4 linked regions of the Lonchura striata genome follow. The protein of the gene in region 4 purifies or fractionates together with the protein of the main gene of each other region. This does not show direct contact. Links are inferred from orthologs where the notes say so. Each region holds a gene or a part of one and is shown on either strand. Other genes may lie near its edges. The genes, in order: MRGBP, H2AZ1, EPC2 and MBTD1.

The links.
Region 1: the proteins of MBTD1 (region 4) and MRGBP purify together in Homo sapiens (affinity purification with mass spectrometry; 4 studies listed by BioGRID and IntAct, counting the BioPlex papers as one, with this or other methods). This does not show direct contact. The link is inferred for Lonchura striata from reciprocal best matches to the Homo sapiens genes MBTD1 and MRGBP.
Region 2: the proteins of MBTD1 (region 4) and H2AZ1 purify together in Homo sapiens (affinity purification with mass spectrometry; 3 studies listed by BioGRID and IntAct, with this or other methods). This does not show direct contact. The link is inferred for Lonchura striata from reciprocal best matches to the Homo sapiens genes MBTD1 and H2AZ1.
Region 3: the proteins of MBTD1 (region 4) and EPC2 purify together in Homo sapiens (affinity purification with mass spectrometry; 3 studies listed by BioGRID and IntAct, with this or other methods). This does not show direct contact. The link is inferred for Lonchura striata from reciprocal best matches to the Homo sapiens genes MBTD1 and EPC2.

What each region holds. Positions count from the first base shown.
Region 1 is NC_134619.1:5,558,999-5,566,240, forward strand, and holds the start of MRGBP (MRG/MORF4L-binding protein), read left to right. Parts: upstream 1-4,224; coding exon 4,225-4,444; intron 4,445-5,325; coding exon 5,326-5,447; intron 5,448-5,986; coding exon 5,987-6,068; intron 6,069-6,569; coding exon 6,570-6,647; intron 6,648-7,242.
Region 2 is NC_134606.1:49,664,634-49,671,915, reverse strand, and holds H2AZ1 (histone H2A.Z), read right to left. Parts: upstream 2,674-7,282; 5' UTR 2,563-2,673; coding exon 2,560-2,562; intron 2,218-2,559; coding exon 2,140-2,217; intron 1,750-2,139; coding exon 1,636-1,749; intron 1,183-1,635; coding exon 1,053-1,182; intron 906-1,052; coding exon 844-905; 3' UTR 512-843; downstream 1-511. UniProt on the Homo sapiens protein: Variant histone H2A which replaces conventional H2A in a subset of nucleosomes. Nucleosomes wrap and compact DNA into chromatin, limiting DNA accessibility to the cellular machineries which require DNA as a template.
Region 3 is NC_134610.1:2,339,093-2,346,567, forward strand, and holds the start of EPC2 (enhancer of polycomb homolog 2), read right to left. Parts: upstream 3,018-7,475; 5' UTR 2,980-3,017; coding exon 2,827-2,979; intron 2,706-2,826; exon of another isoform or gene 2,617-2,705; intron 1-2,616. UniProt on the Homo sapiens protein: May play a role in transcription or DNA repair.
Region 4 is NC_134621.1:6,273,491-6,281,283, reverse strand, and holds the start of MBTD1 (MBT domain-containing protein 1), read left to right. Parts: upstream 1-4,774; 5' UTR 4,775-4,842; coding exon 4,843-4,863; intron 4,864-5,091; exon of another isoform or gene 5,092-6,659; intron 6,660-6,681; exon of another isoform or gene 6,682-7,793. Other genes in the region: UTP18 (U3 small nucleolar RNA-associated protein 18 homolog), read right to left, coding at 205-305, 630-804, 1,642-1,767, 2,357-2,442, 2,669-2,748, 3,491-3,586, 3,691-3,818, 3,899-4,189. UniProt on the Homo sapiens protein: Chromatin reader component of the NuA4 histone acetyltransferase complex, a multiprotein complex involved in transcriptional activation of select genes principally by acetylation of nucleosomal histones H4 and H2A.

The sequences.
Region 1 (7,242 bases), on a different chromosome or scaffold from region 4:
AAAAAAAAGGGTTCTAAGAGGATCTCCCAGACCCCTGAGTGGTTCTGTGCGTGTTTAAAGGAGCAGACGTGCTCCATGAAAATCTGCTGCCACCCACCGCCACAGCGACAGTGAGTGTGGCTGCGGTTCCAGTGCCAGCTAGGCAGGGTTACTGCTCCTCTGCTTCCCCTCTGCAGATCCTCTCTGCCCATGCTGCCTCTTTGTTATTTTACAAATTAATAGTTGTAGTTAAAAAAAATTAAAATTAAATGCCCCTGAGAAGAAAGGATGAGCTGAACAAGCCTAATCAAATGTTGAAACTGTCAAGGAAGGGAATTCCTTCTGGATCTGTCCGGACCAGCTGGGCTAATGGGACTTTAGTTTGCTGGCAGGTACAATCAGTAAAAATCACCTTCAGTAAAACATACTCTGATGTAGGCTTGGGCTAGCCAAGGATTCAGGAATTGATCCTTGTGCTCAATGTTCAATTGAACCTTGAGCTTGTTCATTATAAATCCACTGGTTCGTCTTTCTGCCTCTCTGTAAGCCTGGGGTATGATGGATTTATCAAACTGAAAAATCAGTAAATGGCTTTTCCTTCTCCAATCCCCTCTGTGCTGGGATATTTTAAAGCACAACAGCAGCAGTAACAAACGCCTCTGTGCATGCTCAGAGATAATTATTTGCACTGTTTTCATCTACTTTGCCAACGTTTGCCATCTGATGCCCACCTAATATGAAGCTTCTCTCCGCTGGGAGAACGAGCACAAATGATCACAAGGGAAAAATTCAGTTTGGGAACATATGTTGGAGCAGAGTGGATCCCCTGTTTGACAGCTGCTGCCCTCAGCCTTGCTGCTTCACCCTCATTGTGATTTAAATTCCCTCTTTTGCACCTGTAAGAAGCCGTGCAGAGCAGATCTTGAGAGTGAATTTTCCATTCAATGTCCTTGTTTAATATAATCTAATACACCTTTAAGCAAAGAAAAAAGGTAATTATCTGGAAGAGGCAATGCTGCTCTAAGGGGCTTTGTGATAAGACTCTAACAACAGACTGCTTTATCTTCTAATAGGGAGAAAACCATCCCCATATCAAACTATCTTCACTGATTTATTAAATGATATGTAAAATAAACAAGCTCCAAGTTTTGGACAATTCCCTGGGCAGCTCTGTTAAAGCAAATTTTCCCACAGATTTCACACTTAAAAAAAAAATGGATTCTGAAAGTACAGCTAAAGCTTACAAATCTCATCAGAACTCTCTCTTCAGGAGGTCCTCCTCAGTCATAAAGGGTATTTTATTCAGAAATACTGGAATGTGCCAAGGTATGGAGGTTACTTATTTTGTAGGAGGACTTATGGATCTGAGAGGAATTTGTTGCAGGAAGAAGCTCCAGAAAAATGTACTTCTGCATGTACTTCTTACCTGTGTAAGAAAAAACCTGTTAGACTCTCTATTCAAGAAGTTCTAAACCACCCCCAGAAAAGGTTAAAAGATTTGGTTTAATGCAAAAGTAGGCAGATGATACTCTTTTACAAATGTTCATGAGGCACACCAAAAGTTACAGGATTTGGAATTAAATTTTTGCTTTGTTAAGGGCACTAGCACATGGTGTTCTAAAATAACGACAGAAATAGTTGTAGCCATATTGCTTATCCCAGAAATCCAACACTTCTAGGGAGAATGCCAAATGCCAGGCAGATTTCTCAGTTGTTGCAAAGTCTTAGGAAATTACTGATCATCTTCTGGTGGGGGAAACACTGATCCAGCCAAGGGCTCAGCACCCTTAGGTGACACAACAACCAGCCAGGTTTTTTAAGCAACCTAAAGAGTAGGGAGAAAAAGGAAGAAATAAAATCATGCACTTCTTACACAGCCCTTATCTGCTTAAACCCAAAAGTAGAATTTAAAGTTGAATGGGAGAAGTGCAATTTTTTCTGAAAAATCTGTTAACTGACTGGGAAAAAAAACCAAACACACACACAAAAAAAAACCCAAACCAAAAAAAAAACAAAAAAAACCCACAAAAAAACCCCAACCTAGTCAAATTTAATGAGGGAAAAAAATAAACTCTGGTCAAGATCCAGGTGGAGGCTGTACGTAGCATTATTATAGGCTCCCATATGTTTCCTAGAGGCATTGAATGTGACAAGGGAATTTAGACACACAGAAATTATTTCTGATTGAAACAAAATAGCAGCCAGTTTGTGCACATACTGCTCCTGTTGCACTAATATTATTGTACTGAATTGAATTGTTTTCAGATGCTGTTTTATTTTCAGAGGTAGGCATCAGTTTTTTCATACTCTGTTTCATGTTACTTTTTTTAGCCATCAGAAGTTAGTGACATAAAAATTGCTGTCTGAGTTGACACACTTATTCCCTCTTGATGTCTTTAAGTAGGAGCATAATGTGACAGATGAGTGCTGAAACTCAGTGTCTCACACAGGCTTAAAAATAAGTTATGCCTGCAAAACTTTGAAAACTGTTCTACTGGGGAACAATTTTTACACTCTGAAAATTTGCTTTCCTTTCTCCCCTCATACAGAAACATGTATGAAAACAGGGATTTAGTTGTGCAGGAGATCATTTCCTCCTGCTGTGCAACCATCACAGGAAATCATAAGCCTTTCTCTCAGTAGCAGCTGAAGACCAGGCAGCAGTGTAGATCAAATAAAAACTGGAAGATTAAACAGGGCTGAGATTTAGGGCTGGGTTTAACTGCAAAAACATGAGGAGCTGTCTTTGAGATTTGCAAAGTCCTGTGGATAGGTAATTTTGGTTCAAAACGAGGAAATCGGTGTGAAGCCTGAGCTGTGTGAAGGCAGACCCAGCACAGCCAGGACACAGGTACAGCAGTGACAGCAGGCAGAAGGAATAATCCTGAGATTCCTGTGGTCTTGATGCAGAGAAGTTGTTCCAGCAAGATCTCTGCTCACTCTGGAGCTCTCAGAGAAAGCTGTTCCTGGAGAACTTCAACAGCATCAAAGCCAGACTGGAGTCACAGAATCCTTTCCATTCCAAGAGGCCAGAATAAACCCCACTGGAAAAGAGGATTTGTATCCAGGCATCCACATCCAGGATTCACACAACAAAACTTCTCAAGGCTTCACACATGAGGTTCTGGGCTTAATTTATTTCAAATGTTTATTTAATGTTAGATTAACCTGTGTGGGGTATTAACTACATCAAGCCCAAAACAATGATACGAGTCAGCTCTTTGGGTATGAACAGGTACAGAAAGTTCAATTACAGAAAATTGCATATTTCCCTTCCTGCTTTTTATTATTTGGATAATTTGCATGAAAATAATATCTCTGCTTGTGAGTGTTTGCCCCCACTGCTTTATTATTCACTCAGAACACTCATTCCTTGCATATGACGCGATCGTTATTTGCTGTTGAAATATTTTTAATGTCACAAAATGGATTAAATCTTCAAGTGAGGAGTGAGCAGTTGGAAAGCCCTATCACCTAAGCAACAGCAGTCCTATTTCATGCTTGTGTGTCTAATTATACTTAACAAGGCAAAAACCCTTTATCGCCGAGGGAGTAATACGTTCCCTTTCTTCCCAAACATTTTTTTTTTTTTTTACATCTTAAAAGATGGGCAAAGCTGGTAGGTTCTGCATTTTGTAACCAAGCCAGGCACAGTTATTTGTTAAGCATCAGCGCCAGGTTGGTATTTGATATAAAACGATCCTGTTGTGTCAAGGAGCAGTCAGGGGGGTTGCAGTGCTTGGGACATCCTTCACCGTGGCAGCTCCTCGTGCCAGACAAGGACAGGCCATGGGGATAGATGCTGAGCTGGCCAAGACCTCACAGACCAGGAGGGGAAGCCCTGGGGTGGCCGAGGCAGCCGGGCTGACCGCCAGCCCAGCCGCAGGGCTCTCAGAACGCAGAGCCGAGCCCTGCGGAGCCCACGGGCACTGCAGCGCGGCCTGACACAGCAGCGCGCTCCCTCAGGCCCTTCCCAGCGCTCCCTAACGCTGCTCCCAGAACCCCGCGAGCCTCCTGCCGGGCAGAGCCGCGGGCTCGCCGCTCCTCAGGGCCGCCCACCGCCGCTGCCCGCCCGGTGCTGCCCGCCCGCGGGCTCCGGCGCTGCGAGCGCGGGGCTCCCCGTCCGGCGGAGCCCCCCCGAACCTGCGGGGCCCCGCCGAAGCTCCCCCGCCCCCAGCCCGGCCCCGGCGCGGCCGAGCCCGGCTCCCGGCCGGCAGGAGCCGCTGCGGGCGCGGCGCGGCGGGGATGAGCGAGGCGGAGGGCGGCTCGGCCGCCGCCGTGGAGAAGCCGCCGCTGCCCGCGGCCGGGCCCGGGGCGGCCGCGGCGGTCGCTGCCGCTGTTGCGGCCGCGGCGGCGGCGGCGGCCGGCCCGGAGCCCGGCGCGCCGGCGGAGGAGGCGGCGGTGGTGTGGAGCCCGGAGGTGGAGGTGTGCCTGTTCCACGCCATGCTGGGCCACAAGCCCGTAGGTGAGCGCGGGCCGCGGCCTCCGGGAGCGGCGGGGCCGGGCGCGGGCTCCGGGCGGCCGGGCCGGGCCGCGGGGCCGGCGGGAGGGAGCGGCGGGCCCGGCCGGGCCGGCGTGCGAGCGGCCGCGCTGCGCCTCCACGGCGGCTCGGAGCGGGCCGGGCGGCGCGGGCCCGGCTCGGCAGGGTCACCGCAGAGCACGCGGCGCAGCGCCGTGTGCCGGCCGGCCTGCGATAAATCCAGCGAGGGAGGCTCCGCAGCCGCTCTGGGCAGTGTGTTCCAGTGCTCGCAGTAATGAGGTTCTTGCCTGTATGCAGGTGGAGCTTCCTGTGCATCAGTTTGTGCCCGTTGCTTTATGTCCTATTGCTCTGCACCACTGAGCAGAGCCTGGATCCATCCTCTTGGCACCCCCCTTTTCAGAAACAATAATTCATAAACATTGTTTGAGATCCCCTCTTAGACATCTCTTCTGAGACTGAACAGACCCAGCTTTCTCTCCTTTTCATTGTCAGAGGGATGCTCCAATTCCTTCTCTCAGTGCAGCCACACCAGGAGCTCTGTGTCTGTATTGCAGTCAGGAGCCCAGAACTGGGCACAGCACTCCCTATACATCCCTTGGGATGTTTCTCACACAGCCCCTCTAAAAACTCTGTGTGTGTTAGAATTAGCCACAGGGGCACCCGCAGCTCCCTAGAGAACAGCACCTGCAGTGTAGGGTGAAAGATCAGCCAACCCCGCTGCCAGCTGTCTCTCCTGTTAATGTATGGATTCCTTGTAACAACATAGCTTTTTTAATTCATAAGTAAATAAATAAATCTCTTTATATCTCTAAGTATCATAACTAAAACTGTTAGCAGCGTTAATTGCACTGGGTTCTTCCCCCCAGGTGTGAATCGCCATTTCCACATGATTTGCATCCGGGATAAATTCAGCCAGAATATCGGACGGCAGATCTCATCCAAAGTGATCTGGGACCATCTGAGCACCATGTATGATATGCAGGCTCTTGTGAGTATATAGGGTTGGTGCTGCCACATGGTTTCATGGAGTTCAGAAGTTTTGCCAGGCCAGAATCACTGGGCCTGTCATGGTACTTAGAATTAGGTGTCATTCCAGTGAGTTGATCGGGTTTTCCCTGAATAAAAGTAGATTAGGTAGGAGACAATAAAGCCTGCAGTGGCTTTTTTTGGGTTTTTTTTTGATACCATGTTCTGACTTTGTTTATTAAAGTCACCTAAATTCTGATCCAGAAAATGTTGATATACATTTATAAGTGTCAAAGGAGAATGTTATCATTGTGTACATAAGAATTTGCTATGTTTGAGTTCCAAAAATGATCTCAGATGATGGTGAGTTGTGATCTTAGGTATCCTGACCTCAGTAATCAGTTTGATATTAGAAGCCTCCTGATTTTCTAACATCTGAAGTGTCTTGTTAAAAATTATATAGCTCCTAATTGCATGTAAAATAGAACTTGAGATTGCATGTCAAAATTCAAATTAAAGTCTTTACCAGTCACTCACAGAGATCCTTCTTTTCTTTCTAAGCATGAATCTGAGATTCTTCCATTCCCTAATATAGAGAAGAATTTTGCTCTTCCTGACGAAATGATTCAAGAAGTGAGAGAAGGTGAGATGTGATTGCAGGCTCTGATTCTTGGTTGCTTTATTCTCATCTCAGAATTTTTAACAAAATTCCCCCCAGAAAACATGTATTGTCAAATCTAATAGAAATGTACAGGAGTTTGACAGAAATCTCAGGTTGAACAGCGAGAGAAGGATTTTGAAATTTAGCTGATGTGTGTTATACAAAGTAAGAACTAGAAAATTCAAGCACCTGCCAAAGACTTCTTGGGATATTTTAAACTTCAGTGGAATGCTTCTCAATTATGAGGTACATTAAACTTTAAAAATTCAGTGAAAAATCTTAGCACAGATAAGACATTGCAATATGTTTTGCCCATGCAGCATTTCACTTTCTCATGTTAATAATAATTTCCTGGCACTGAATTATTGCTGAGCGTTGCATGGACTATTTGCAAACATACAAATATGCAGAGGCTACTAATCCAGAAAAAATTCACGTGGTTCTTTAAAACCATCTAACTAATGCTAACAATCCTTTCTGTAGGAAAAGTAATGATGGAAGAAGAAGTGAAAGAGGAAGTTTTAAAAGAAGAGATGGAAACGCATGCAGGTCCTGAAGAAGGTAATTTTGTAACTCTCTACTGTGTAATACGAGATTAAAAACCAACTGTAATTGAGAAATTAATGTTAAAATGTAAATCCAAATGCAGTGTACTGTGTGATTTGTACTCAGACTTAGCCTGTGCTCCTGCTAAGAACTTGACTAATAGTGCACAGAGTAAGCAGCTGCTTATTGAAAAGATTTCTTTTTTTGCTCCTAATTCATCTGTACAAAGTTGTATAGCTTTGGAGATTTTTTGCTTTAATATGTACTTGACAAACCCCTGGGAGTCTGAAGGAATCTGAGGATCTCTGGAAGAAAGCTGAGTCTGATTTTTTTGAACTTAAATGCTCTGTGTTTGGAACTTTGTAGTCATGGGGGAAATAGGGCCTATAAATCAAAAGAGATTGTAAAATTGCGTGCTGAAATGGGAAGGTGGGCAGAATGCTTATTTTATTTTATTCTCATTATCTTGCTGCTTTTAAATAAAAGGCTTGTTTTCCTAACACTTCGCTGTAGAACAAGTCAAATGTGAACAGTAGAGATCCTGCTATTTATCTTAACAGACCAAGCCAACTGCTAACTATATAATTTCATCATATTTATATCACTGAAT
Region 2 (7,282 bases), on a different chromosome or scaffold from region 4:
CCAGACCCCCCCCTGAAATCCACTACTGAGGTTTTTGCTGCATGGCACAATTTAAAAGGCTGCTGCAGTACAGTCCCTGCTTTTGTGGGTGTCTAGCCAAAGCTTTTGCAAGCTGAAACAGTAAGAGGCCAGACCCTAACATGAAATTATGTGAAGCATGGAATTTAAACAGCCCTTGAAACTTATCTTTTACCCTCCTCCGTGACAGACCCTCACCCTCTACAAAGGCTGACACTGATTAAAACTGGCCTTAAATAACATCAGCCTTTTATGTGCCCTGCTAAAGAAAACTTCAGCACATGGCACAGTAGGCTCAATTAGGAAGAATGTAACTTCACAGGACAAAGCCCTGTGCACTTTCACTGCATGGCATTTACTGGCTGCAGTAGTCTTAGGCTGTATTTCAAGATGCCCCAAGCCCAGCAGGAAGGGTTGTCAGTTACTTGCTCTCAGAACAACTTCAAGAGCAGCACAGTGGAGACCAGATTTTCCAGTTAATGAAAGACACAAATCAGTCTTGACATAACATTTATTATTTCCACTCTAGTAGATGAAAAGTCTGTACAAAACCAAACATTTCCTTTACTTAAGCCAATCTAAAAACAGTCAGCTCAATTACAACCCACTACAAACACAATAGCTTCTTTGAAGCCATGGTAACACTTAAATATGGTTAAGACTTCAACGCAGAAATTTGGTTTGTTAGAAAGCTCAAGGGAGCTTTAGCTTCTCAAAGTTAAAAAAAGGCAAAATTGTGTTTCACAGATACAGTCCACTGGAATCACCAACACTGGACAAATTAAGTACTTTGAGTCCTGAGATAACAAGGAATCCTGGTATGCTTTAGACAGTCTTCTGTTGTCCTTTCTTGCCAATGAGAGACTTGTGGATGTGTGGTATTACACCTAAAAAAGAACAACAGTTAAGACCATGCTGTTTTTCTTCAATTTTCCTAAACTTCACACTTCCAATAAAATGACAACACTAATGAACTTCAAGTCTGTGAGAGTTCATGCCACCCAAGCACCCATAAACAGCAAGTATTGACATACCACCACCAGCAATTGTTGCCTTGATCAGAGAATCAAGCTCTTCATCTCCTCTAATGGCAAGCTGCAGGTGACGGGGAGTGATACGTTTCACCTTCAAGTCTTTGGATGCATTTCCTGCCAGCTCAAGGACCTGAGACAAGACCATTTTTCAACAGTTATACAATCAAGTGAGACCAACAGCACAGTCTTAGCTATTCAATTCTCTCGTCCAAATACAGTGTCACTGCCATTAACACCAAAACAGAAAACAATGTCTCTTTTCAAGGGGTTCCTCCTTTGGAGCTTCACATTTAGTTTTCCCAATGACAGAGTAAGTCTTCTACAGCAGATAAGACATGCTGTAATGGTCCATTTTAAAAGTTATTTCACACACTGCATTTTTCCTACAAGGCAAGCTGCAGGGCTTGCATGAAATATAGAGGAGTTACTTTTCATGGTCTTTTGCTTTTTGAGACACTTTAGAAGTGCTTCAAAGCACACAAAGAGTTCGCAACCCAGTCCAAAATGTCAAATACAGTAGGCACTGGTTGTTGTGCCTTCTGGGGATTGATCAATTTGCTTGCACCCCTTGCAAGCATTTTACCTCAGCTGTCAGGTACTCCAGGATTGCAGCACTATACACAGCAGCTGTGGCTCCTACACGCCCATGGCTAGTTGTCCTAGACTTCAGGTGCCTATGGATGCGGCCAACAGGGAACTGGAAAATAATGGAAGTATGAACAGGCTGTGACGACAGAAAGGCTCTGCACAAAACCCCATTGTGGGCAGCAGAATCCCAGTGGCAGAAGCACAGGCTGCATTTCAAACCTTGAGAATACAGTTAAGACACTGCATGCCGAACTCACATAAGCAACTTTCATGATTCTCAGCACAAACATAGCAATGGCCACAAGGGAATTACTTTCCTCCCTGCACAGATATGCAACGGTCTAAAACCAGCTGGGTGTGCTGATGTCTGCTTTACAATCCTTATATCATTCCAGGCAACAGCCAGACAGCAGAGTGTGAAGGTTTCACACTGCACAAACAAACCAACAGATGAAGGCCAGCCTGACTTTCACTCACCCACACTTCAGCCCCTGCTCACCTGCAATCCAGCCCGCTGGGAACGGGACACTGCTTTGGTCTTGGTCTTCCCAGAGTCCTTCCCGGCTTTCCCACCAGCCTAGCAATGCCAAGAGGAGAGCAGACGCTGACGTCCCCCACCGCGCATGCGCCCCGCCCCTCCACCACCCCCCCTCCCGGCGCAGTCACCCGCGCGGCCGCGAGGCGCGTGCGCGCCGCTTGCCGCACCGCGCGGCACAGGCCGCTCCCCGCGCGCATGCGCGGCCACCGCTCCCCCGTCCCCGGGGCGCCACTGCGCGTGCGACCACCCCCTCGCCCCCCAGCCGCCCCCGCCCTCCCCCCACTGCGCCCGCGCGGTTTACCCCCCCACCATCAGCGGCACGGAGCCGCCCCGGCCCCAGCACCGCCGCCCACCCCCAGAGCGACCCCCGCGGTTCCTCACCATAGCGAACCGGAGCGCAGTGCCGCGCAGGGGAAGGCTGAAGCAGAGAGCGTCCCGCACGCACCGAGCCCGGCCGACAGCACCAAGCTGACTCGACCCGCCGCGATTCAAACTGCGCCCACTCCCGCCTTCCCCCGGCCCTTTATATCCGCACCGCGCGGCCACATCCGGGAACTCCGGCCTCGCCGCCAGCCAATGGCGGCGGACGGGGCGGCCGCTCTGCCCCAGCGACAACCAATGGCGTGCCGGGGCGGGGCCGGCCGCGCGAGGCGGGGAGCGGAGAAGCCCCGCCCTCACGGGCCGGTGCGAGGCGGGGCGTGGCGGCGGGGCGCGCTCCGTCGGGGCTCCCGCCGTGTGCGGGCTTCCTTCGCCTCGGCGGCGGCCCCCCCTTCTGAGGTTGGGTCTCCCTGGGGTGACCGGCGGCACAGACCCTGCCCGGAGTCACTCCACTCATTTTCGCGGGGTTCTGTATCGCCAGGTCCCGCTGTACTCGGGTCGCTCCAGAGCCGCCGCACTGCCGGCGAAGCTTTCTCTCCACAGTGGAGTTAATTGGCTTTGTGTGCAGAGCGCCTCAGGAGCAGCCCGAAGGACACTGTCCCGCGTTTGGGATGAGGAGCTATTACACTGCCGAGGACACGAGGCTGCTCAGGGGCGTCGAATAAAGCTCGCATGAACTCCTCAAGATTCCGGGCTGGAGAAGTGCCAACCACTACACATGTGCACTGATTTTTATTTTTACCCCTATTATAAGCAGGGGATGCACCAATACCTAGGACCACCCAGCCTCAGACACCCTTGTGTCACCGGATATTTCACAAACTACAGTTAAAAGCAGTTTATCATTAATTATGTTCAAAGTGTAACAATTAATGCAGTGCAAATTTCCTCACCTTGGGCACTTCAAAATCCCTGCCTGTGTTTCCTTAAATGAAGCCTTAACCCATTTGGGTTTTTTTTTGGGTTGCCATTTTCAGTATATTGCCATTTAACCTCAGAGCTCAGCTGATGCTGTTTTTGGTTAATCCTATATTTTCAGCTTCAAAAAAGTAACAATTCACTGTGCTCTTCCAGAACACTGTAAATCTGTATTATCTGAGAGATTTACTGTTCATCTGTGAGCATGCAGTGAGCTCAGAGAGAGACCTCGGCCTTCAGATGGCTGAGCAGCTCTTTAGAGAGAAGACGAGATAGATCAGTCATGCAGTTTACCAACCTGATCACAAACCCACCACTTTGGGTTTGTAGTTTGTATTTCCTCTGCCTTGATATTGAAGGGTCCTGAGCACAATGAATACTCTTACAGCCAGACATTTAATGGGACGTAGAGCTGAGGGCATAAAGTTCTCATGAGAATTCTCTCTACACCATAACTTTTCCCCTTTATTCAGGTCTACAGCAACCAAAGTACTCAGAGCTCTAAGACAGGATATGTCCTGATCCCTAGAGCTTCACTTAAAGGTCTTTCAAGCTGTTCACACAAGTAGAAAAGATTTAAAACTTTGTGGCTCTTATTCTCCCACATCTGACTGCAAATACTTGGTGCCCTGGCTATAAAGGACCCTTTGCTTGAATCTCTACACAGCCTAAGGCCACATCATCAATTACTTCACCACCCTGTTTCGGGCATCTAATCCCAGCTGCTATCATCTCTGGGTGGGGAGACCTACTTCCAGGCACATTCACAGAGAGGCAGGACTGAATTGAGAGCAGACACTCCTACATGCAGGGATCTAGCAGTTTGTTTTTATGTAACTGTCTGGTGCTTCTGTCTATTTGAATCATCAGTTGTTTATACTCTCCTTCCGCAAGAAAAAAAGATAAGAGGGTTTGAAGGATTTTGAGGGGAGAGTTGGTTTAAAAACAAACCTCAAGGTTTTACAAAAGCCTGCAGAACTTAAGATTTCATTCAGCATGCTGTTTAAAAACTATTTGTGTTGAAAATCAAGGATCCATGTGCCCTTTACCATGCAGGAAAAGAGAACTAAGTTGCAGGCCATCATACCCTTGTGGAACACCATTCAAGATGTAGGAAGAAACAAAAAAATTATTTTTCTCTTTGGTTTCTGTCCACACAAGTCCTAGGAAGAGGAAGAAGGTCTCCTATCAGATAGAGACAACCCCTGCCACAGACATTCCCTGTTTCACACATGAACTTTCCACACAGCTCACTTTGGCTGCTTTGGAGCTCCTTACAGCTGGGATTACCAGGCAAGGCAGCCTAGCACCAAAGATAAACCAAAGCAAGGATATATATTTACCACACAGATCAGGCTAGGGATGGGTCAGGTAGAGTACATGAAACCAGCCTCAGATCGCCTCATGCTGGCTAGCAAGATACTCTCACGAGCACAACCTGAACTCCCCTCTCTGCTATTTAAAGAGATAAACTGAAACAAACTTAGGTACACAGGAACAATCCCAAAGCAACTTCAGACCCAGCTGTGAGTGCAAATAACTCAACCTCAATCCCACATGCACAAAAGGAGCCAAAGGGAGTACTCACCAGCTCCATGTTCCTAATGATATTTATAATATTTGTACTGAAAGCCTATCTCCAAGGGTCTTCCCTTTGAAGGCCACAGTGGTGAATGTTTGCATCATTTACCCAGCACTTGTGCCCCAGCTTTTTTACTGTGAAGTTTTTTCCGGTGCTTCTCATTGCTGATGTTGTGTGGGCACTGCAGTGCTGTCTGTGCTGGGCAGGCTGTGCCTGAGCTGCTTTTGCTGCAGGATCACACACGGCCCAGCATTCAGGCTGCTGCTGCCTTGTTCAACCACCTGCCTGGGTTTTCAGAACTTTAGAATTGGAGTATAGTGTTGTTTTCTTTTCTATTCTGCCTACTACTTGGTATTATTTCCTTATTATTTCAAATTGCCTCAAAAACATAAACAAATTCTCTAAAGCGGGTACTACTTCTCAGCCCTCTCTAAGTACTGGGCTATGGACATGATAATATTTGGACTTTCTTGAATTCATTTTTTGCAGAATTTTAATTTCTGCAGAAGTGGTGGAGATCATCTTTAGTGGGCTGATGAAGCATTCCCAGAAATCTCTTTGTACCACAGCCTTCAGAACTTTACAGTTTCTGGATCCTGCATAAGTTTAAGTGGGAGATACATGTCAAGGTGCTCAGCTCTGCCATGGTATTCCCAGGATACAAATCTGGATATCTGTGGAACTTCAAAAGCTAGGCAGAGAGCATTTAAGAAATTAATTTTTTAGGTGACAGCTAAGCAGTTAAGTTTTTAGTACACAGTTTTTAGTCAGAGGTTTTAGTATGCTAAACTTTGAACCAACTCCCCTTAGGTGAGTAATATAGTTCGTAAGGGATTATTTTTAGACACCACTTAAATTATTCAGGCTCTAGTTTTTGTGGTGAGATTAATTCCTGTATGACTTGTATTTGCCCCTGTTATTATTTGTCAAATAGCAGGTTTGTGCTCAGTTGGGTCTCCTCGCTGGCTGCTGTATTTAGGTTCAGGAAAATCCCACCCTCTGTGCCAGCACTGTTGTATTGTTTGTAGTGATAATGGATTCGATTGTTCAGCTTCACATATATAGATATAGCTATTTATCTGTTATCTCTAAACAGCTTCACACATTGTAGGAATGAGATTGGTGTGAGATATGTGGTGAAGGGATTACCATGGGCCTGCTGGCCTGCCGTTGGGGGGATAGGTTATTTTATCTGTAGATTGTAGGTGATTCTAATCACTGCAATCCAGCTGGAAGAGGGAGTAACACTTAGGTGTCACAGTCCTGTTCTGCCCCTGCTTAAGACATACAGCATTTGTAATCTCTCTTTTTATAGCTCTCTTTATTCCTCATTTAGGTATAAAGGGTCTACCCCTCCCCTTTGTGATAGCAGCTAACAGAATATTTGACTACATTCTCACTTCCACTTCTCCAAAAAATGTGATTTGGTATTTGAAATCCTCCATGGCAGAGTTTGAAAATACTATTACCTTGCAGACAAGTCCAAGAGTTTACTCCTCTCTCCTTCCCGAAATTTGGGATACCTCTTTTGTAAAATTTGCACCTCTAGAACATACCTGGAAGTACTTGTACATAGTACTATATATTTATATTTTGCACATCTAATGAATCCATAGTTGCCAATCTGTAAGAATTACAGTCTGTTGTTCCACAACTGTTTGTGAGCCTGTATTTGTGTGAGTTCTTCTGAACCCAGCCAGACTTAGAGTGTTTCATTGGTAAGTTGATTTGTGAATCTCTGGTTGTGAATGAGACCCACTGTATTGGTGCCTGTGGGATCTTATTGAATGCAGCTGGGCTTACAGTGCTGAATTGGTTATAATAAAAAAATTAAACCTAACTGCACCTAGCGCCTCTGAGGACCAACTGGAAAGCAGGAGGGTTTCTTTTCCGATAAATTTCTATACTTGTAACAAAATACAAGTCTCTGTAATAGTTCTGCAGATAACACTTGTGTACTGATTTCAGGAAGACTTGAATTACCCCTATAGCCACACTATAGGGTGTTAATGGTACACCTTTCTGTTTGCTATTAATAATGTCGTAATGACTAAACTGTATTAATATTTTTGTTCTTGTTTAGCCAGCTCTGAAAGGAAACTACAGCTAGTTAGGCAAGGTGAAATAAGATGGTGACAGCCAGAACTCCTTAACCTCATCCTTCCCATTGTCTTACACAGAAATTTATCCTTCAACACTCTCTTTTTGCTGTGTGCTTTGCTTCCT
Region 3 (7,475 bases), on a different chromosome or scaffold from region 4:
TATAATCTTGCCTGGCTGATGCATCTCGCACTATGTTTATGTATTGCTTCAGTCGTTTCATTTTGAGACTATTACATAATATATCAAACACAGCCACATGTCAGGGCTGAGAAAACAAACCTCACTCACACAGAAAAACAACTTTTTAGGACAACACTCAGGTAGTTTTATTGAAGTAGAAATCTAATCTTCCCAATCATTTAAGAAGCCCATAAGCAGCTTGTTTGCTTGAACTCTTAGAGCAATTTTCCATTAACAACTTTATTTTAAACATGATTTATCAAAATAACAGCAAATTTAAAGAATTAATTTAAATATTAAATGCAACTTTTGAGGCTGAGAAAACCAAATTAGTCTCCAATACTGCTTCATTAGAACCCCAGTGCTGTTCCTTTTAACTACAATCCAGCTTCTAGCAGCATTACTCTCGGGGAATTCCTGAGGTTTTGATCACAATGTGAACACAGTAAATTAAAAAATAAAAGCTCACCATAATACGACAAAGGATTGCTTTTAATACCAACAGTCAGGTGAGAAAAAGCAACGAGGAAAGCATGGAGCCTCCTTTGACAGCTGTAACCTCGGAAAAGCCAATCCACAGGCACAGAGGTTTGGCCGAGGCGGAGACACGGATTCATTGAGGAAATTCTGGAGGGTGCATTTACTATCGGCTCTGCAAGTACAGACACATCAGGCGACAGCCTCTGTCTGAGCTTACACAACTCCCAGGAGCAGAAAATAAACCTTACTCTTACAGAAAAGTGTTTGAAGATCAGCAGGACAAAGCAGCACATTCAGAGGACACCAGAACTGCGGGCAAGCGTTCTCAAAGCTGTCCTGCTGCTCACCAAAACCGCCAGAAACTTATGTTTACCTCAGCGCACAAAAGCTTTGCCACCCTTTAACACTACGAGCAGAACACACATCACACGTCCAGGCTGAACACCGGCCAGGTGATTTGGAAATAACATTAAAGCTCCAACGCTTCACGCAACGCCTCTGCCGAGAGATGCACTGCGAGCAGCAGCACAAACCATCGGTGTTAAATAACTCCGAGCAGCACCGGGGGTGGCTGCAGGAACGCAGACACTGTCCCACAGCGGGAGCCAAAGCTGCTGTGTGCCCTCGGCCCCACATGTGCACAGTGTGTGTGTGTGTGCCCTCAGCCCCACATGTGCACAGTGTGTGTGTCCTCAGCCCCACATGTGCACAGTGTGTGTGCCCTCAGCCCCACATGTGCACACTGTGTGTGTGTGTATGTGTCCTCAGCCCCACATGTGCACCGTGTGTGTGTCCTCAGCCCCACATGTGCACACTGTGTGTGTGTGTGTCCTCAGCCCCAAATGTGCAGTGTGTGTGCCCTCAGCCCCACATGTGCACACTGTGTGTGTGTGTATGTGTCCTCAGCCCCACATGTGCACCGTGTGTGTGTCCTCAGCCCCACATGTGCACCGTGTGTGTGTCCTCAGCCCCACATGTGCACCGTGTGTGTGTGTGTGTGTGTCCTCAGCCCCACATGTGCACTGTGTGTGTCCTCAGCCCCACATGTGCAGTGTGTGTGTGTGTGTGTCCTCAGCCCCACATGTGCACTGTGTGTGTGTGTGCCCTCAGCCCCACATGTGCACAGTGTGTGTGTGCCCAGAGCCCCACATGTGCAGTGTGTGTGTGCCCAGAGCCCCACATGTGCAGTGTGTGTGTGCCCTCAGCCCCACATGTGCAATGTGTGTGTGTGTGTGTGTGCCCTCAGCCCCACATATGCACAGTGTGTGTGTGTGTGTGCCCAGAGCCCCACATGTGCACTGTGTGTGTGCCCTCAGCCCACATGTGCAGTGTGTGTGTGTGTGTGTGTGCCCAGAGCCCCACATGTGCAGTGTGTGTGTGTGTGCCCTCAGCCCCACATGTGCACAGTGTGTGTGTGTGTGTGTGCCCAGAGCCCCACAAGTGCACACAGTGTATGTGCAGTGTGTGTGCCCTCAGCCCCACATGTGTACTGTGTGTGTGCCCTCAGCCCCACATGTGCAGTGTGTGTGTGTGTGTCCTCAGCCCCACATGTGCAGTGTGTGTGTGCCCTCAGCCCCACATGTGCACAGCGTCTGCACCAAGCGCGGGCACTGACAGCAGCCCAAACCCCACACGGAGCTGCCGCCGGGCTCGGGCACACCCGGCCGGAGCAGAGGGACAGCGGGCAAAGGCAGGAGCCGGCCCGGAGCCGCTCGTTCCCTGCGGAGCGGCTCAGCACAGCACCCAGCACTTTCACACCGCCGCCACCGCCTCCCCGGCTCCAGCCCGAGCGACTTGACAGCCGCTCACAACAGCGCCGGCAGCAGTAGTATCAGCTTCAGTCCACAACGCGCCGAGCACCCCGAGCCGCTCCGCCCGGCCGGCATCCCGAGCCCGCTGCAGACGCCCGGCATCCGCAGCCGCTCCGGCACCCCGCGCACCCCGCGCCGGCAGCCCGGCTCCGGCGCTCCGCTCCGGCGCTCCGAGCTGACACCCCGCGCTGACACCCCGAGCCGGCTCCGGCGCGCCGCACGCTCGGCGCTCTGCCATCCCGCGCCCCGCCGGGCAGCCCGCCCCGGCCCGGCCCGGCCCGTCCCGCCGAGCCCCCCCGCTCACCCGCGCCCGGGACGCGCAGCAGAAGATGGCGGACGGCGGCAGGGCCCGCTCGCGGCGCCGGACCGCGGCTTACGCTGCGCCGTTTGCGCAGCGCCCCGAGCGCCCCGCGGCGGAGCGAGCGTAGCGCGCTTGGTGAATACCGGCGGCCGGTTCCCCGTGCGGGGGGTGCCTGTAAACAATGGTGCCCCCCCTTGCGCCGCGCTCCCTTACCGATTCTTCCTCCTTCTCCATCCCCGTGGGCATCTGCGGCACGGCCCGGTTGATGGAGACGCAGTCGTTGAGGTCGGGCATGTCCTTGCCGCGGTAGATGGGCAGCGGTTTGGCGGCGTCTAGCGCCCGGGCGCGGAAGGAGAGTTTGCTCATTGTCTCCCCCTCACAATAACACCCCGGGGCCGGGCGGGCGGGGGGGGGGGGGGGGGGGGCCTTCAGTGCGGCCTCGCCGCCGCCTCCCAGCCGCTCCCGCGCCGCGCCCGCGCCACCATGGAGAGTCCCGCCGCCCCGGCGCAGCTCCCGGCGGGGCCGCCCGTAGCCCGCAGCGCACGCCCCGCAGCCCTAGATCCGCGCCGGGCTCGCTCGGTCCGCTCCCTGCGCCATGGCAAACATGGCGGACATTAACCACAGCCGCTCGGCCCTCCCGGCAGCCCGCGCGGCGGGAGCGGCGCTGCGCGCGCAGCCGAGGGCGGGAGGCTGAGGGAGCCTCGGGAGCCTGAGGGGGGCGGCGGGACCGGGCGGCAGCGGAGCGCGCCGGGCGTCCCGGCGAGGAGCCGCGCTGTCCCCGCGCTGTCCCCGCGCTGTCCCCGCGCTGTCCCTGCAGCCTCCGCTGGGTCCCGCTGTCTCCCTGCCGTGCCCCCGCGGTGTCCCCACAGTGTCTCCGCTGTCTCTCCGCAGTATTCCCGTGTTGTCCCAACAGTCTCTTCCCAGTGTGTCCCCACATGATCCCCACATGATCCCCTCTGTCTCCTCATAGTGTCGCCACAAAGCCCCACACAGTTTCCCACATTGTCTCTGCCGCGTCCCCAAAGTGTCCCTATAGTGTCCCCCCTTTATCCCCCACAGTGTCCCCACAGTGTCCCCCCTTTATCCCCCACTGTGTCCCACATTGTCCCTGCCATGTCCCCATAGTGTCCCCCCGTATCCCCCACTGTGTCCTATATGGTCCCTGCTGTGTCCCCATAGTGTCCCTGTAGTGTCCCCCCTCTATCCTCCACAGTGTCCCCATTGTGTCCCACATTGTCCCTGCCATGTCCCCATAGTGTCCCTATAGTGTCCCCCCTCTATCCCCCACAGTGTCCCCCCTGTATCCCCCACTGTGTCCCACATTGTCCCTGAGTGTCCCCATTGTGTCCCCCCTCTATCCCCCACAGTGTCCCACATTGTCCCTGCCATGTCCCCATAGTGTCCCCCTGTATCCCCCACTGTGTCCTATATGGTCCCTGCTGTGTCCCCATAGTGTCCCTATAGTGTCCCCCCTCTATCCTCCACAGTGTCCCCATTGTGTCCCACATTGTCCCTGCCATGTCCCCATAGTGTCCCTATAGTGTCCCCCCTCTATCCCCCACAGTGTCCCCCCTCTATCCCCCACTGTGTCCCACATTGTCCCTGCCATGTCCCCATAGTGTCCCCCCTCTATCCCCCACAGTGTCCCACACTGTCCCTGCCATGTCCCCACAGTGTCCCCCCTGTATCCCCCACAGTGTCCCACATTGTCCCTGCCATGTCCCCACAGTGTCTCCCTTGTATCCCCCACTGTGGCCCACATTGTCCCTGAGTGTCCCCACAGTGTCCCCCCTGTATCCCCCACTGTGGCCCACATTGTCCCTGCCATGTCCCCATAGTGTCCCCCCTGTATCCCCCACTGTGTCCCTGCCATGTCCCCACAGTGTCCCCCCTGTATCCCCCACTGTGTCCCACATTGTCCCTGCCATGTCCCCATACTGTCCCCCCTGTATCCCCCACAGTGTCCCCACATTGTCCCTGCCATGTCCCCACAGTGTCCCCCCTGTATCCCCCACATTGTCCCTGCGTGTCCCCATAGTGTCCCCCCTGTATCCCCCACTGTGTCCCTGCCATGTCCCCACAGTGTCCCCCCTGTATCCCCCACTGTGGCCCACATTGTCCCTGCGTGTCCCCATAATGTCCTCCCTGTATCCCCCACAGTGTCCCCACATTGTCCCTGCGTGTCCCCATAGTGTCCCCCCTGTATCCCCCACTGTGTCCCTGCCATGTCCCCACAGTGTCCCCCCTGTATCCCCCACTGTGGCCCACATTGTCCCTGAGTGTCCCCATAATGTCCTCCCTGTATCCCCCACAGTGTCCCCACATTGTCCCTGCGTGTCCCCATAGTGTCCCCCCTGTATCCCCCACTGTGTCCCTGCCGTGTCCCCATAGTGTCACCACTGCTTGCCCTGCAGCATCCACACCGTGTCTGCACAATGTTCCTGTTGTGTCCCCACAGTGTCCTTACAGTATCTGTATGTCTCCCCAGTGTCCCCACAGTGTCCCCACTCTCTGCACAAACCAGCAGGTTTGTCTCCTCAGCGTGTTGGTCAATGTGGACTTAAAGAGTTCCAGCCATGAAGATGTCAGGAGGGTTGACACAAAACAACACTTCAGAAATAAACTTGTGCTTGTGCAATTTTATATTTTTTTCCAGAGAATCACAGAATATTTAGGGTTGGAAGGGACCTCTGGGAGCCATCCAGTGCAGCCAGGGTCACCTGGAGTAGGTGGGTTTGGAATGACTCTGGAGACACCACACTCTCCCTGGGAACCTGTTCCCATCCTCTGCCACCCTCATGGAAAATTATTCCTCATGCTGAGGTGGAACTCCTCGTGTTTTAGTTTACTAAACTCCTTCATCACTTTTTCCATCAATAACAATGTTCTACAACTTGGAACTGAGTAACCCCATATTCTTACCTGGGCAGAGCCTCAGTCCTCTACCCACCCAGAGCTTCCTCTGGAATGCATGAGTTGACATTAGTCTGCAAAACCCTTCATCAAAGACCCTTAGTACCTCAAATACCTCCACACTTCCATTTAATTTTGACACCCAGAGACCAAGCAGCTGCTTCTCTCACCTCCACCTTAGAGCTCTCACAGAAGTTGTCAATATTACCTTCTGAAACAAACTGAAACTCTTACTCAAAACTTCACTGTTTGCATCACTGTGCCAACTGTACCTAATTTCCATTTTTTTTAAATTCGAGAAAAAATTGGTTCAGTCTCTGAATTGCCTTTTATTTTTAGTTACCTGTTGTGTTTTTTATTTACATGGTTCTGTATAGCAAATACAACTGCTGTTTGTGACAAACACATGATTTACAAAATGAAGACTAAAGAATTGTGTCAACTAGAGAGAGAGAGAGAAGGAGGATGAAACAAGCACAGGAATACACAGGAGGGAAACAGAAAACAGAAGGAGCAAGAACATTGTGTTCATCAGCCACAGACACAAATTAGCTTGGGAAAGAGATCTGGAAATTATATTAACTACTGCTATGAAAGCATCAGGTAAGAGTCCAGTCATGTGAGAACACGAAGCTTTAAAAGCATGAGAAAAGGAACAGAGAATCAAACTGTGATAGGCTGCACTTATTTATAATTCCCTTAGAGTAGTTTTATTTCATAAGAAAGGCAATCCTTGCCTTGGATTAGAATTAACAGGTAAATATTTAAATTTGATATAGTTTAGCTTGGACTTTATAATTCAGCACCATTTTAGAAGCAGCCAAACTTCCTACACCCAAAATGGGTTTGGTGCCCCTGAAGCAAGTGGGGCTGAGCTGGCAGCAGAGGAGGGCTGGCATTTCAGGGGTGATTTCTGTGTTTTCCACCTGGGTGCCAGCAGCTGGGAGTTGTGAGCCCTGCTGCACAGGTGACATCCCTGGGAGAGGAGCAGGCAGCTCCTCCTCAAGCACTTCCAAAAGACACCACGACTTTCCTCTTTCTGCTTCTGCAAGGAACAGGCATTTTACACACTGCTGGAAGACTTTTCCCCCTTTCAGTCAGCACAGCTGAACAATAGATAATAACAACCTTTTCCCTTTGTGTGGTGTTCTGCTCTTTTTCACTACTTACATTTAAAAAAAATGCAAAAATGAAACATATTTACCCTCCAGGTGGCTCTTAGTCCTAAACTCATCCCATTATTTTATTTCTACAAGCAATGCAATTTTTTTTTTAATGATGCCCTGTAGGGTACAGAAGGAGTTTTTTATGTAGTCAAAAAAGCCATTGCACAGAGCTGAACATGGGCAGAACTAAAGTTTCAGCTTGCATTAGTTCAGCTTTAAGCCAGAACCATCCATCTTTTAAGCACATAATCTGATCTCTTCCTCTTGTAAAATATTATAGGTTTTCTGAAGAATTGTAGCTGTAAAAATATTAGGAGCTGTAACTCACCTGTAGATAAAATAATTTACTTTTCATGCACAAATCAAGGAAACAATGTCTCAAACAAAATTACTTGTTCAATAGCTGAATTCTGACTCATCTTCATGGAGATAATGGAATTGAATATGCAATTTGAACATTGGATTGACCAAAAATCCACTAATTTTATTTAAATATATATATCAGTGGAAATGTCAGAGCTGTATAGGCTCGAGGGCTTCATCACATCCTTGCTTTTGGTTCTGCTTCTCCATAGTGACACTTAACACAAGGAATCCTTGTTCTCACTGTAGCTGCCTAAAGCCTGGGATATTTCTACAGATTTTTTGCAGATTTATCCTGTTTATTTCTTGGTTTTTGTATGTTTTTTTTTTCTTAACACTTCATATCTCGCTGCATTAATCTTCTCCAAGCAGAAGCATCACTTTTGGATTATCTCATTATTATTGTAATGATTATTGTAA
Region 4 (7,793 bases):
GAAATAAAGTCTCAGAGAGTCCAAAATAATTCCCTAAAGCTGCAGTGGGTTGATTCCACAGCACATTTTTGAGGGCTGTTACAGTATGTGTCATACTTTGGCTTCAGCTGAAAGTTAGATTGCTTTGCAGATGAAATAAAAGCAGATTCAAAAGGGAAAAGGCACCAAGGAAGCAAAGCTACACAGACCATGCAGAGAAAGTACCTTCATGGACAGCAAGTGAAGGTACCCTGAAGTTCCAATTAGCAGCATAAATGATCCATCTGGAGAGAGTTCGAAGTTTCTGAGGAATTTTTCCTCCACACCTTTAAAAAGAGATTTGAAACTTGAAATTGGTGCAATTTATTCTTTGGCCTCAATATTTAGAGATAGGATGAATATGAATAAGACCTGATTCCAGCTCTTAATTTCTGCAATATGCTGTCACAGAGAAGCTGAACTCAACCTTGCTTGTGTGTGATAATTAATATCCCAGACAATTAACACTAAAGGTACTTTATTTCCTTGAAGATAAGTTAAAAATAAAACCTCCAACAAGCCACTCTACATTGTTTTAAAGCAAATTCATGTGCCATCTCTATTTCAGACAGCTTCAACTGTGCCCAGACACTCAGAGCTGCAAAACATACCTCGTACTTTTGGGACAGGGATGATACTCCCAGCCATCATGTCATACACAAAGAACATTCTGTGGTGAGTACCAGTGGCTATAACTTGTTCTCCATCCACACTGAAACGAGCCTTATAAATTGGAAAACTCTCTAAATAGATGCTCTGTATTTTTGGGTTCCTTATACCATCCACCTTCAAAAAAGAAAGTAACAAACCAGGTTGTTATATTGAGGAATATATCAAACACTTTTATAGAGAAAAATCATTATCAACTTCTCAGTTGAGACTTAAGTAATAAGAGGTACACCACTGTGAAGCCTTAAACTCTTCCCCTCTCCTACAAATAATCTGGTTCTTAGCTCCTTATCTGATGTAACTCTGCCTCTCTGATAGACCTCACACTTCTTGCTTTGTTCAAATAATCACTTCTACTGTGCTTTTTCTAAATGGAAACATCTGCTTTGATTTGGGTTTTCTTGTGGCTCTGTGAGACTATCACATTCCACTTGTCTGACCATTCCAGTGACCCTGGGCCATGCTAAGAATTCCTAAATTAAATTAGGATCTTTAGTTTTCAGAGGAGCCTGGCAGTGTCTCTGGATGAACATCTTCCTGCAGCACAGTCTCTCCATCCCCAACATGATTTCATAGCAATTTTACAGTCTCAAAGCAAAGTGGGCTGCTCCCCCCACTACAGGCTCTCCAAACCACTTAGCAACAAAAATCCTCATTAGCACTTGTCATTTGCAAACCTTCAAACATTTTTAAACACAAATCTTTGCCTAAAAACTCTGAGACAAAGTGTTTGCCAGTACTCTGCACATGCTTGGTGTGAAGTCACTGGTGGAAATTCCTTCCAAGATGCCTTTAACCAAGGAATTTCCATTGTAACCACAGACATTATGTAAGCCCTGACAGTGTGCAGAGGAAGACAGAAAACAAAGTCTACCATTCCAGGCTATTTCATGTACACTCAAAGAAAAGGTTCTATGTTAGTGACCATCAGCAGGTACAAACTGAAGCTTTCACCTGGAAGAGGGACACAGAGCGATCATGCCCAGCTGCCATCACCACTTGAGCTGAAGGATGAAACTGCACTGTCACCAGTTTTCCATTGGCAAAACGTTCCTGGTTTGCAGGAGGGCAGGTGCTCATCTACAACACAGATCAGACAGTTAAAAAAACCACCAACAATCACTCATGCTGAATAAAAAGCCATTTACTCTTTGCGCTTACAAGACCTCAAGCCCTGTGATGAAGTTCTGGGCAGTGTGATGTGAGCAGAGCACACACAGCCCATTCAGGGAGCTGCTCCAATATAATACAGGCTGAATTCACCAACCTTTCTATATTCACCAACCTTTCTATCTGCATTAAAACTGAATATAAAACCAGCTGCATTCTGACTCATCTGAGATAGCTGCAGGAGACAGTGTGAGAAATACTCATTTAAGGCTGTCTTCTTAAAGATCTTATCAGTCACTTCAATGCTGTAGGAGAATTCCATCCTTCTGCAGAAATTAAAATCCTACTACAAGATGCTATTTAGAGTGCAGAAAATTCTTATGTCAAACAACACACCTCAGTTTATTGTTTCATACTCTCATGTGAATTGTTCAATTTGCTTATCCTCTAAAGCTTCTAGTTGCAGAAACAAATTCAAAGAATCACTAATTTTATACACCACAAGAGTCAAAGTGTGCATTTAATCCAGCTGAAGTGGCAGGATAAGGTTTGTCTTTACCTTCAAAATCCCTCTTGGCAGAGACTCTGAGCTGGTTATGAAATTGCCAGTCCTGCGTAGCAGATCATCATCTTCATCAGTGTCACCTCATTAAACCAAAGCACGTGGAATCAGCTAATTGCACAAACACCCACAGCAAAATCAACACATTCCTCACTGAAATGAATTAAAGCACATTGAAGGAACAAAGCTGACATAGCCAGCATGTTATTACACCACTGAAACTAAGAGGACATCAAAAGTAATTATCTTCTAGCAAGCTGAATAGGGAATCACAGAAACTCTTATCAGAATAGCATTGGGAATATTTACTATCACTCAAAGTCCTTTTGGATTTCTTCCTGTTTTCTAGATCAGCCCAGGCAGGAACTCCTCCCATGGCATTCTGAAACCTTATGAGAAAAGGAGAAAGAGAAAAAAAACCATAACTTTTGTGAGACAGTAATTTCCTTCTATGAGTTAAGTATTTAGAAGAAGCACAGTCAGAATTTTGCAGGACTACTTGTACTTAGAACACAATGCAAGTTTTTTAATTTCCTAAAAAAAAAAAATTAAAATTTCATTGTTTCTTGCATAATTCCCTAGAAAACAAATTAGTTTGGGCACTTTGATATAAGTATTAAACAACTTAATCCAGACAATGCTAACGCACATTTAATTTACTATTTTTGGTATCATTTGTTATTTAGTAACACTACAAATACTGCAGGAAGCCCTGACTTTAAAGAGACCACATAAGCACAGTGGATAAAGAGTAAAGTGACTATGAATGTCACATAAATATATTTTAGCTTACAAAATTGTTGGCTTGGAAGGGAGACCATCCAGTCCAACCCCTCACTACAGCAGGGTCACCTGGAGCAGGTGGGAACATGTCCAGGTGTGTTTGGGATGTTTCCAAGGGAGACTCCACAGCCTCCCTGGGCAGCTGCTCCAGTGCTCTGTCAACCTCAATGGAAAAAAATTCTTCTTCATGTTGTGATGGAACTTTTTGTGTTTTAGTTCATGGTCACTGCCCCTTGTCCTGCTCAAAGTGCCACTGAAGAATCTGGCAACATCCTTCTGGCACCCAACTTGGAGAGCAATGATCATGAGATCAATACAGACAGCCACAAAAACATTAATGAAACTCACTGTTCCTCAAGTCTTTTCTTTAGTTTCTTCTTAGTAAGCGTTGTCTCGGCATCACTTTTCATTAAATCTTTCCTGTATTTATGGGTCATATCAACACTAGAGGAGAAAAACCAACAGAACACAAACACCGTTCAAACCAAGGCCGCTTACAAGCACTCCCAAGTGTAATACACAATTCCCATCACCTAACCTGAACTTACATTTCCTCAGCTTCGTCATCCTCATCCACCCAGGCGGGATTTTTGAGCAGTAACCCGCGTTTCGCTTTTTTCTTCACCCTCGAATCGCTAGAGTCATCCTGGAGGCCCTTCCCCTCTGCAGCAGCAACCTGAAACCAACCAAAGGGACCGTGTGACAGTGGCAGGGCCCGGAGCCCGGGCAGCGAGCAGGCTCTCGGCTGTGCCGTACCCGTCGGGGCCCGGCCAGGCGCCGCAGCAGCTCGTCCTCCTCCTCAGGGAGGCTGCCGCCGAACACCAGCTCCTCCAGCTCCCGCTCGGCGCCCGACGCGCGGCTCAGCGCCTTCAGGTGCCGGGCGCGCCGTGCTGCCTCGGTACCCGCGGCCTGATTCGCCACGGCCCGCAGCTGCTTCGCCGCCCGCTTCGGTTTCGCGGCTTTAGCCGCTCTGGCGCCTTTAGACGTTTTCTTGGCCGCCTTCATCCCGGGCGCTCTCCCGGGCGCTGCCGCCGCCCGCCCGCGCATGGCGCGCCACACCCGGAACCGGAACACGTGCGCTCGATCACGTGATCCCCAGCCCCCGCCCGCGATTGGCTTAGGACGCCAACACCCCCCCCATGTGACCGAGCCCGCCCCCAGCGGCGACCCGCGGTCACGTGACTCCTTTCCTCCCCTCCCTTCGCCCTCAGCTCCCGCCCACCCTGGGCCGCACCACTGCGAACCCGCGGGGGGGAATCCCCCACCCGGGAGGCAACAGGCGTCCCTCACCGGCTGCTCCTGGCCTTCCACCGGCACCTCCCCTGCGCATCGCCTCTCTCTGCCAGACACGGCTGCTCTTACACCCCGCAGTCCCTGCCTTGGCGCGGAGCGCCCACCTCCGGTAAGGAATGGTCTCGCCCAGCGTGGGGGGAGGAATATGGCAGCGGGGCCGCTCCGCGCAGCCCGACGGCGGCGGGGGCGTGTCCGCGCCTGCGCAGCCGCGCGCTCGTGTTGTTGATGTACCGGCGGCCGCCGCCGGTCCCGCTCGGCCCCGCTCGGCCCGCGGCGCTCGCAGCGGCCGAACCGCCCGGCCCGTCCCCGCCCCGCCGGGCCCGGCCCCCGCCGCGCCCCCCCGCCGCGCCCCGCCCGCCGCCGCCCGCGCGCGGAGGCAGCGGGCGGCTCCTGCCCATGAGGGCCTGATGGAAAGCACAAAGGAGCTGGTGAGTACCGGAGCCCGCGGGCCGCGCGGGAGGCGGCGCGGGGGCCGGGAGGAGCGCGGCGGGGGCGGGAGCTGAGCGATCCGCGGTGCCCGTGCGGGAGGGGGCCGGGGCCGCCCGCGGGGCGCGGTGCGGGGCCGGGCCCCGCCGGGGTGCGGGGCTGCCGGGGCCGTGCCCGCCGGGCCCGCCGAGGGTCCCGTCCCGGGAGCCGCGGCGGGGTCCGCCCGGGCACGTGGCACCGGCCCGGCTCTGCCCCTTTGTTGCGGGCTCCGGTTTTGTCCCTCGCCCCTCTCCTGCCTCCGAGAAAACTTTCAGCTCCAGCTGCTTCTCCCCCTGCTCCGCTGTCGTGCCGGGTTTCAGTAACTTCCTCCTGCTGTTTCAGCCTTTTAAAGTTCTTCAGCGTGGTCACGATAAGTGCTTGAGAGTTTTCTTTTTTATCAGCACTTCAAAACTTTTGGATTCTTTGCGGCCACTTCCTCCCCTCTCCGTGCGATTTTTGTGTCTTCTGATGTTGTGATTTTGTTATTTTTGCGAGGAGTAGTAAACTCGTGAAACCAGTTTCGCTTTCAGGTTGTTGCTGGAAATGTTTGAAAGTGTAGCAATTTCTGCCCAGCGTGGCTTTGAAAATTAGAAGTCCTGCTACAAATCTTATGCTGATCATAGTGATAAATTCTGTGTGTGAAAAAGCAATTTATTTTAAAATGTGACTGGCAACTGTTGTGATTTTTCAAATCTAAACCTAGTCAAAACTGAAAGCTGCAGGGCAATCTCTTGTATTTAAAATTAAAATTATTTTGCAGGTTTGAGGACCTGCATTTACCTATTAATTGTATTCAACAGTTTGCTTTTGACTTAAATGGAATGGATTAAGGCTATGAGAGTCTAATCTGGAGCCTTCAATGAGAACTAAAATTATATATTCTGTTAAGAAGGCAATAAAACTTGGTAGGTTAATTGTCTTTAGAAGTGTGTAATGTGGGCTGTAGGAAACTATGCAGAGGGATCTTGTCTCCCAAAAACAGTTTGAGTGTTGTTTTTGAGAATATTTGGACTTGTGCACATGCAGAAAGATTGCAAACTGAAAGTAAGAATTCTCTTTGCTGTTCCCTAAAGAACAAGGTGCCTTTGGCAGCAGTGGTAATATGCACAAAAGTTCCTTCTCTTTAGCTTTCATTTCTCTTACCTTCTAAAATTTGATTTAATTTTGCAAGGCTTTTCATATCTCCTGCAAACCACTGCTGCATTCCTTCATTTCTCAGGTAAGTTGGTATACATACTGGGGATGTGGGATCCTTTGCTGAGCCTGGCTCTGAGCACGTGGAATGAATTCAGGTGTTGAAGACTTTGGTTTTGGGTTGGTGGTGGTTTTGGGGTTCTTTATATTTAAATTTGTTTGTTTCATTTGGGGTTTTGTTTGTTTGTTTTAATGGTAACACAGTGTTTAAAGTGAAATATTTGCCTCTTCCTGATACTCCTGTAAGGGCTTTGTAGAAATATAAAAGAGTTTGTAACAGATTTTTAGTTTTATCAAAACTCAGATATTTCACAGATTAATCATCACACCCCCCCTCCAAAATTTCCTGCTAATGTGATATATTTTTTTATGAAAGAGTCTCCCCTCTTGTGTGAAACCCCCTGGGGAAGAGGCTATGGACAAAACCATTGACAAACAGCAGAAACTGGCTTCAGACAAAATGCTGTCATACATAGCAAATGAAGAGACAGGAAAAAACATTTCTGTAATTTTCCAGCAGAGATTTTACTTATAATAAGAGTGGAAGGCACATTTCCAGATAGAGGTGAGTTGCTTATATAAAAAAAGTAAGTTTGGTTGGTTCTGATTTCCAAGAATCCCAAGATGTTTAGTTTTGGGGTCTTTGTTTGTTTTTAATGAAAGCTGAAAGTGTGTTTTCTTTAAATTGGTACCATGTTTGAATTTTCTTTTTTTGGTTATTTTCTGAGGCACAATTAGGCCTCAGAACACAACTCAGTTCCACAGGGACAAGCTACTATTCTACTGTAAATTATTTTGGCCAACTTGCATTCAAAAGAGATAAATTCAAAATAAATTAATTCTGTTGTGGTGTTTCCTTAACATCCAAACCTGAAAGTAAGTTTGTAGCATAAAGCATCAATGAACTATTAGAAACAAAACCTGTGCATCAAATTTAACTTGGAAATACCCTTGGATCCATTAAGGATATGTGATTAAAGTAAATTTGTTTTATGCCAGACCCTTGGCTTGAAGGTTGTGGTGACCTCATTGTTGACCTTGTTGACCCATCTGTCCATAGTTCTGTCCCATTTGAGAGGGTTGGAGCTGAATATGGGAAGTGATGCCTCTGTTCAAGTGCTGGGGTACCTTTGCTGAGCTACAGCTCTTGTACTCCAAGCTCCAAATTGCTGCCATTCTGAGTTCAAACCCCAGGTTGAATTTAAAAGTAGCAATAACCATTTGGAGTGATTTGAAACCTTTCTGTTGCTGTTTTGGATCTTCCTCCTGTGGCCAGCTGCACTTACCCGGGGGCAATAGGTTTGGTTACACAACAATGGGGTGTTGTTTGTGCAAGTTCTTACCTTCAAAACTCTTTTGCATAAATTTTGCCAATGCTTGAGTATAGTCTTCATCAAGACACTAAAGCCATTTCCTAAGTAAGTGTTTGATGTCTAAATAAGATGAAATGGTTTCTGGTTTTGCCATGGATTGCTCACTCTTTGTGCCCATTTTTTGTGTTGTAAGAATAGTTACTAAACTCAAAGAATGTATGCTATAATGTGTTGATCAAATTCAGTGTGTGTGTATATATATGTATATTAAAGTGTATATTTAGAGTGAGAAACTGGTTATTTTCTGATTTGTTTAGAGTTGCCTTCCTGCTTTCAGGGAAACCAGTTTCCTTAGCTATGTTCTTTTTCATACCATTTGCCTCATG